2 linked regions of the Danio rerio genome follow. The protein of the gene in region 1 interacts with the protein of each later gene in a pairwise test. Links are inferred from orthologs where the notes say so. Each region holds a gene or a part of one and is shown on either strand. Other genes may lie near its edges. The genes, in order: gpr25 and vapb.

Region 1 (4,456 bases):
GATTTCATGCCTTTTGAGTAAGTGAGAAAAGCCGCCCGCGGGTTGATGTATTTCCAGAGCAGGTCTCAGATGTGCCGTTGGAGTAAGAATTCGAGGTGATGTAACTCTGGTGTGCTTGGTCATTTTGACTCAGACAGCTCAGACACAACATGGAAGCTCTGCGTCTGAAATGTTGATCGAGAAAGAAGTAGATAGCCGGATTGACGCAGCTGTTGAGAAATGCCAGACAGCAGGAGAGCATGAGTCCTCTATGTATGACAACATAGGTGTCCTCATTAAGATCTCCATTGATGATCAGTAACGCAACATGGATGGCCTTGAAGCAGTTGAATGGAAGCCAGGAGATCAGAAAGGCTGAAATGATAGCAAACACAATCTTAACCGAATGCCTTCGTCTGGCATCAGTGCGTGTGTTGGCAGGATTGTGACAGTGACGTCGCAGGTTGACCAAAATCGACCCATAACAGAGGCCTAGAATGAGTACCGGGAGCAAGAAGGTTAGCAATATAGTCAGAAGATTCATTCCTTGAACAAAAGAGGATTTGGAATCTTCAGAGCACACCGAATTGTTGATCAAGTGACGGTACGCCAGAGATGGAGATCCTAGAAAGAAGGAAACCACCCACACGATGCCACAGGTAATTTGTGCACAATTGCTGCTGCGGAGAAACCGAGAGTCCATTAGGCGCACCACTGCCAGGTAGCGGTCCACGCTCATGCAGGTGAGGAAGAAGATGTTGGAAAAGCGGTTAACCGCAATGATAAAGCTGCTAATCTTGCATAACACCTCACCAAAGGGCCACTCGTCATAACGGGTCGAAATTGCCCACATTGGCAGCGTGAGAACAAACACGAGGTCGGCTAGTGCCAGGTTCAGCACGAAGGTGTCTACCAGGCGTCCACTTTTCTTGCGCCGCTTTCCAATGACCACAATCACAAACAGGTTTCCCAAAGAGCCGGTGAGGAACATAATGATGTACAGCACAGGAATGTAGATGTTAGACATGGGCAGCAGTTCAGCGTCGGGAAGGGTGTAGATTGGATTCTCGTCCGTGGAATTAATTGGATAGTCATAGTCATATTCACTTGTCAAGCTCATTGTAATTCCAGAGTGTGCCATCTCTGTGCTGCTTGCCATCTGTGCACAAGTGATGGGCAATGAAGAGAAAACCTAGCAAGTCACATGATGGAAACCACAAACTGCAATAACAGGTTCTCTCATGCTCTGTTTCCTTAAAAGTTGTAAATTTAACACAAAGTGACACTTTTCTTTATATTTACACTTCTAAAATATCAATCAGTGATTTATTACATTTTTGGACTTACTGCTCTAGTGTAATTACTTAAAACATTTGAAAAGGCTGTTTTTGCTCATAATGAGCTTATGTACATTTAAAGATGGACACCAGAAGAATCTTTGAGACTAAATAGTTCACAGAATCTTTTGTTTCATAGTAGGAAGAACAGTGTCATTCAATCTAAAGAAGATTTTTGCATTTTAAACAACTTTTAGTGGGATGAAAATGCTTCATGATTGTTCTGGGATCTCCACTGAAGCACCGATGGGAATAAAGATTTTAAGAATTCCATATTTTGTATATGTAATAAATCAAATGTGAGTGCCATGGGATTTTATTGAATGATTTAAAGCAGTTTTCTCATAAATGCGTAAACACTTCCTCTTTGTCAGTATAAGACGAAAAAAAGCACCTTGCAAGCAGTTAAAAGAAAAAAACGGTTGATGTCATGCCTTTTAGTTTTTAATTCAGCTTTGCAACAAACTAAAGAATAAAGTGCAGAGCTTATTTGAGTCATGTGTGATGTTGTGGTTTCCTGGGTTTTACTCTGCATTTTCTAAACTTTAAGACCTTTCAGGCTCAGACTGGATAAGACAAGTTTAGTATAGACATTTAGCTTTCAAAAGCACCAAAAGTTCACTGATGATCAAATTAGTAATCCTTCGGTGAAGTTCTTTTTTAACAAACAAACTGATGTGTAAAGAAAGGGTCTCACAGTTAAATTTAAAGCAACCAGTTTTCTGCTGGTCAGTGTGGCAAATTCATGTGGTGAAATCTTGTGGGAATTTTTGTACTCTCAAGCTAAATCTTAGATCGACATGCAAATGAGTGGATTTCAAAAGTGTAAGTATAACTGTAACACTTATAATATAACTTCACACTTCGTGACAGGTGAATAGACAACAAGAAAAAAGAAAAGTGAGATAATTTCACACAATTGAAAACCTAAAAGGAAAGCTTTTTTAATCAGTATTAAGAAATGTAAGGTGCATTCCAGTGTTTTATCTTACAAAACATCAGTTTTATTTAAATTTGTGTGTGTGTTTCAGTTCTTGTCACTTGTAGGGTTTATCGCAAGCTGGGTTTAGTGGGACCTTGGCAATAAGCTGGATAGTCGAAGATTTCCCGTGCTGATATGTTTGCAAGTCATTAGAAAGACAGTGCCCTTTATTAAAGATATGCGCAACACTGTACAGAAGCCACAAAACAGATCTTTTAAATTCATTACTATCATTCAATATTTATAACATTAAATATTTATTTAATCATGACAAAAAAAATTAGCACAAAAAGAAAGCATTTTTAGACTATTCTGAATATTCTGCCCTGGCAATGGTGTTCAAAACCAAAGCTGACAGATAGTTAACAGAAATAAAGCACCATCACACTTTCTTCTTGCGAATGTGAAGCACCTTTACTTGATTTGCTTGTAAAACTAAAAAGGAAAAATACAAAAGGTAAAAATTACAAAGTGATTACGAAATATCACAAATAATATACATCTTTCACATTTGTAAACATAAACTGACATATTTAAACTGATATCAAACAGCTAAATAAACAATCCAGGCACTTTAATGACGTGCATCTATATGCAAGCTTGTTAGCATTTAAACAGAACATCAAGCATTAAACATTTCAACACTGACCCTCCTTAATCAATTTAACCCAAAGGAAGTATTGCAGATGTTTTCAAAATAAAATTAGTAACTTACAGTCGTTTCTATCACAAGGGCTAAAAGCAAACAACAAGTCGCGTCTCTGCATGGCGATCACAGTCTCTTCTTCTATGACTTTTTAAATATCCGGTTGTTCTAAAGAATGGCGCAATGACATTTTCACAATTACACCACTTAAATAAATCAATGCACAGCTTACCAAACGAATCAACACCATACAGTACACTCCCCGCCTGGTGTATTGCATATACCACTATGCTTTTAATCACTAGATAAAAGTAAAGCTACGTCACATATAGGCCATAAGTACTCCCTGACAGCCCCTTGCTTAGCAGTCTTTACCATAACCTTTCGGACTTTCCCATCAGATGAGGCTACGGTTTTTGTTACGAGGCCATTTGGCCACTCACTGCGCTTAGCTTCCCCATCCTTTAACAGAACAACGTCTCCTTCCTGAATGTTATCTCTCTCCTCAGTCCATTTTCTTCTGGATTGCAAGGTGGACAAGTACTCCTGCTTCCATCGCTTCCAGAATGAATCTGCTAACATCTGGACTTGACGCCACTGACTTTTGTGCAAGTGTCCTAACTCAAAGTTTCCTGGTGGAGTTGGGGCAACACTTGCTTTCTGAGTTAAGAGCATTGCTGGTGAGAGCACTTGAGGCATACTTGCATCTGTAGAAATTGGGGTTAAAGGTCGGGAATTCATAATGGCCATGACTTCTGCCATTATGGTTGTTAAGACTTCATGTGTGAGTCTTGTAGCAGATTTTACTAAGAGCGCTTCCAGAATACGTCTGGCTATCCCCATCATTCTTTCCCACACACCCCCCATATGAGAGGAGTGTGGAGCATTGAATGTCCAAGTGCAGCTTTGATTCTGCAAGAACCCTTTTAGCTCAGAGTCGCCACTGTCGATTTGGAGTTCTTTCCCTGCTCCAACAAAATTCGTCCCTCTGTCTGATCAAAAGTGCTTTACTGGCCCTCTCACAGCCAAAAAATGTCTCAAAGCACAAATAAAGCTTGACGCTGATAAAGATTCCATAACTTCCAAGTGAACTGCTCTACTACTCAAGCAACTGAATATGACAGCCCATCGCTTGTTCTCAATGTTGTGCCCTCTTGTTTTGCGTGTCACCACAGTGAAAGGTCCAAAAACATCAAGACCTGTGTATGTGAAAGGTGGATCTACAGAAAGCCGGTCTGGGGGCAGAGCCGACATCTTCTGACTTTCCATTTTACCTCTTAGCTTTTTGCATAGGACACATTTGTGGATGATATTTGAAATGCGTCTTTTACCGCTGACAATCCACAATCCAGCACTACGTATAGCGCCCTACGTAAAATGCCGTCCTTGGTGAGCCACTTGATCATGATAATGCTGAATTAAAAGATCAGTCACATGATGGCTAGATGGAAGGATCAAGGGATGTTTCTCTGGATCTGAGATGTCAGCGCACTGAATGCGACCCCCGACTCT
Region 2 (4,600 bases), on another chromosome or scaffold:
GTCATCAGAGCAGACAGCATTTCTCCAATCTTCTATTGTCCAGTTTTGCTGAGCCTGTGTGAATTGTAGCCTCAGTTTCATGTTCTTAGCTGACAGGTTTGGCACCTGATGTGGTCTTCTGCTGCTGTAGCCTATTTGCCTCAAGGTTGGAGAGATGCTCTTCTGCATACCTCGGTTGTAACGAGTGCTTATTTGAGTTACTGTTGCCTTTCTATCAGCTGGGACCAGTCTGGCCATTCTCCTCTGACCTCTGGCATCAACAAGGCATTTGTGCCCACAGAACTGCCGCTCACTGAATATTATCTCTTTTTTAGACTATTCTCTGTAAACCCTAGAGATGGTTGTGCATGAAAATCACCTTTCTTCCCCATTCTCATGCAGTTTCTCAGGTCATGTCTACATGCCTAAATGCATTGAGTTGCTGCGATGTGATTGGCTGATTTAAATTGGCATTAACGAGCAGTTAAACAGGTGTACCTAATAAAGCGGCCATTGAGTGTATACTAGCATACATTATTAAAAATATTTTATTTCAAAGTTTCAGCTACATTTTTAACATTTTGAAAGGTGAAAAAAAATAATTATGACACAATAATAGCATGTTTCTAAAATATATTCAGAAATATCCCAAATATATTTGTGTGAATAATGCTTTTGTTCATTGAGACTAATAGAGAAATACAGGTGTTTTAGTGAGATGTATTTACAATACAGTAATAAAACTCTTGTATAATTATGTTTAGGCGACACAGTGGCTCAGTGGTTTGCACTGTTGAGAAGGCTGCTTGTTCGTGTCCTGGCTGGGCCAGTTGGGATTTCTGTGTGAAGTTTGCATGTTCTCCCTATGTTGGCATGGGTTTTCTCCAGGTGCTCTGGTTTCCCCTCACAGTCCAAAGACATGCGCTCTCAGTAAATTGAATGAACTAAATCGGCCATAGTGCAGCTGGAAGAGCATCCACTGTGTAAAACATATGCTGGATAAGTTGGCGAAGTTCATTCCACTGTGGCGAGCCCTGATGAATAAAGGGACTAAGCCAAAGGAAAATGAACGAATGAATGAAAGAACTATTTTCAATTATTAAACATGCAAAGCAGTACAACTTTCTTTAGAGGTCATCACATGTTGCAAAGTTACCATAACATGCAGTGTAAAAAGATGATCAAAAGTCACGACAGCATTTTTTAAATGTTATATTAACATAATTAATCAGTCTTTTTTAGTTACCTATTTTAATATAATTTTAATTCATTAATATTTTTTGTTTCAAAGCAGCTTTACATTCAAAATCAGAAAAGTTAGGTTATTAGTTACCATAACTTTATTAGTTACTAATAATTTAAAATAATCATTCATTCATTTTCTTTCGGCTTAGTCTCTATTTTAGAGGTTGCCACAGCATAATGAACCGCCAACTATTCCAGCATATGTTTTATGCAGCGGATGCCCTTCCAGCTGCACTACGGCTAATTTAGTTTAACACTGAATTATTATATAATTAAGGTATTATATGTAAACATAGTTAACCTGCAGTTATATAGTATATAGGTGATATTGTTTGAACACAATCAGTCTTTAAGTATTTAAGCTAACTTAATATTGAGTTTTACGAATTTGAATGAATCATTTTAATTGATTCATAGTTAAATTACCTGTAAAGTTTATAAGATTTACACATTTACAGTATATTTTACAGTGTTGAAGATGCACAGATGACCCATTAAGATCAGCACCTCCACCCTTCACATCAGTCGCCACTACTGAGTGCATACTGCAGGGGCAGGGAGTGACGTCACGGCCAGCCTCCCTCTCTCTCTCCAACAGTCCCTTCCTGCTGCATCACAACAGTCGCTGGCGGATCGGGTAACACTGAGCTATTTCCACTGCCGCGTGGAGTTTTTTATTTCGATAAATGTAACAGAAGTCCTCATCGACTACAGCCTCCGCCGTCAAAGCCCGTCGCCCCCGTCAGTCCGAGCGGTCAGTCCGAGCGTTTGCAGTGGGAGATGGCCAGGCCAGAGCAGGTCCTGCTGCTGGAACCGCAGCACGAGCTCAGGTTCCGAGGTGAGTCCAGAAAGCCCCACACTGACGAGGACTTGCGGATAAAACGCCCTGGATGAAGAGGGAGGGTCAGCGGGTGTGTTTTTTTAGTGGTTGGGGGCTGAAGGAGGCGGCGAGATGGCGTTTCTGGCAGGCCTCGGTGCTTGGAGTAATCATAATAATATTATGGCGCAGCGGTGTGTTTCTCAATCGGTTTATTATTCAAACTCCGCTAAAATGACACCTAATGTGACACGATAAGGTGTTCGCTTTGTGGTTTGTTGTATAGACTGACAAGTGTGTTAGCTTGAGCTAGCTTGATTTAGGCCTTGACATACAGGCTCTGCTGGTGGGCTGGTTAATTCGGTTAGTGTGAAGCGGTTCAACCGGTGTTGCCATGTCCGCATGTAAAATGTCGCTAATCAGATGTGCTCACTATTTGCTTATTTACATAATACAATAGCGAAATGCGTGTTTATCCTACGTGTAGTGTGTGTGCATGTCATGATATATCTCTGTCATCATTGTGAGATGATTTCTCCATTTGAATGACCGCTGTGAGCGAGCTGTCAAAGGCAATTGCTAATCTTTTCCCTTATGCAGACGCTTGCAGGATAGAGTTGTTATTGTAAATATTGCAATAATGAAAATCTGGGTTGATGTGTTTCGGTTTCTTTTGGTGAAGCAATTGGTTATTATTATGTTTTAACTTCTTTTGTCAGAATAGCTAGCATGTAGAGAAATCTGGCAACACTGACAACCTACCTTTGACGCTGCTTCCAGTCAGGAAGTTATTAGCGTTAGTCTGAAGACACCTTTGTTATTATTCCACTTCAAAGTTCAGCATGACGTGGACATGTTGATACTAATGTCATAAACAAAGCTATTCTGGTGTTTTGGATAAAACATTGGTCTTTGGTCGACATTTAAAATTAAATCATTTTCCATTTACATATTTGTTTTTTTTTACAGGATTTCTAGGTTAATGTCATTTAGACTATCATTACATTACTATCACTAAACAGACTAATGCTAGTTTCACTTGTACACTTCATGCCCATGTCAATCAGCTGATCCATAAGACTCACAAAATAAGAATGACTTTCCAAGCTTTTAAATCGCCATATCATTGGCTACATTCCTCATCATTTCTGGGATACTTGTATTTGTCTTGTTCTTTTATAAACAAAAGCCTTTGTGGCATGATCCCCTCATAGAAGAAAGCCATAATTTTTAAAATGTCAATAGTATGTGTAGTTCTAAGTTTAGCAGAAGACTGACAAGGACATTAGCTTCAGCTAGTCTGTTTAGGCCTTGACACACCGCTCTATTGGTGGGTTGGTTAATTTGGTTATGAACTGAAGCAGTTCAACCAATGTTGCCATGCCCTTGATGTTGCATTTGTGTTTTGCTGTCACTTACAAAATGTGCTGTTGAGGGTTTTTTATGACACTGTGTAGCAACATTTTGTTTATCCCACATGCATGTCTTAATAGTTTTCTTTGTCATTATGTGACATTTACTTCTCTCTTTGATCCACTCTGAACATTTCTCCTCATGGTCAGATAATTACAAGATGTATTTCCTGCCATAAGCAGGAATAAACAACTTGAATGCTTGTTTGTGTGATGTATTTTGTTTATTTCTGGCTTAATTGTACAGAAGATGTTTAATATTTTTATGGAGAAATCTGGCCGCCTACCTTGATGCTGTTCCCAGTCAGGAAGACATCAAACACCTGTATTATTATCTAACTTCAAAGTTCATACGACTTTATAGATAATAATGTCATAGTTATGTTGGTGTTTGAAATAAGAATCTTTTAATCCAATGAGAATTCGCATATTTGACATTTCAAGGAACACATTCTTTTGGAAGCAAAGCCGTTGTGAGCCAAACCAGCTTGAAAACATGTTGTTTTTCATAAGAATTAACCTTACACTAGCTCGTGAAGTTCACAATCACAGCATAGACCCTTAACAATGATTTATTGACTGCATGCTGGTCTATTTATTGTACTAATGTCACCTTACCACTAAATATGATACTGCTTTACACTACCTGACAAAAGTAGCTTGTCACCTATCAAAGTTTTAGGAACAACAAATAATAACTTGACTTCTAGTTGATTATTTGGCATCCGAAGTGGCTTATATGAAGGGCAAAGGCCTCTAGATTACTCTTAATTTATTTTATTATTTATTTATTTATTACCAAAATAAAATATGATCATGCCTTAATTTTTAATTATTTCATTAGGACAGTAAGGTCTGACTTTGCTTAGACAAAAGTCTTGTCACTTAACATAAATAATGTACAGTATAGAATATAAAGTCATGGTGCAGTGGAAACAGAAGGAATATTTTGCATAACTCCCATGATCTTGGACAACTGCATCCATACATCTCTGCAATGACTCAAATAACTTAATAATAAAGTCATCTGGAATGGCCAAGAAAGCGTTTTTGCAGGACTCCCAGAGTTCATCAAGATTCTTTGGATTCATCTTCAATGCCTCCTCCTTCATCTTACCCTAGACATGCTCAATAAAGTTCATGTCTG

Evidence for each region.
Region 2: the proteins of gpr25 (region 1) and vapb interact in binary tests that used the Homo sapiens proteins (3 or more experiments, as listed by UniProt). The two-hybrid records come from large-scale screens. The link is inferred for Danio rerio from reciprocal best matches to the Homo sapiens genes GPR25 and VAPB.

What each region holds. Positions count from the first base shown.
Region 1 is NC_133186.1:26,792,268-26,796,723, reverse strand, and holds the start of gpr25 (probable G-protein coupled receptor 25), read right to left. Parts: upstream 3,090-4,456; 5' UTR 1,139-3,089; coding exon 5-1,138; 3' UTR 1-4. UniProt on the Homo sapiens protein: Orphan receptor.
Region 2 is NC_133181.1:52,215,716-52,220,315, forward strand, and holds the start of vapb (vesicle-associated membrane protein-associated protein B/C), read left to right. Parts: upstream 1-1,747; 5' UTR 1,748-2,004; coding exon 2,005-2,062; intron 2,063-4,600. UniProt on the Homo sapiens protein: Endoplasmic reticulum (ER)-anchored protein that mediates the formation of contact sites between the ER and endosomes via interaction with FFAT motif-containing proteins such as STARD3 or WDR44.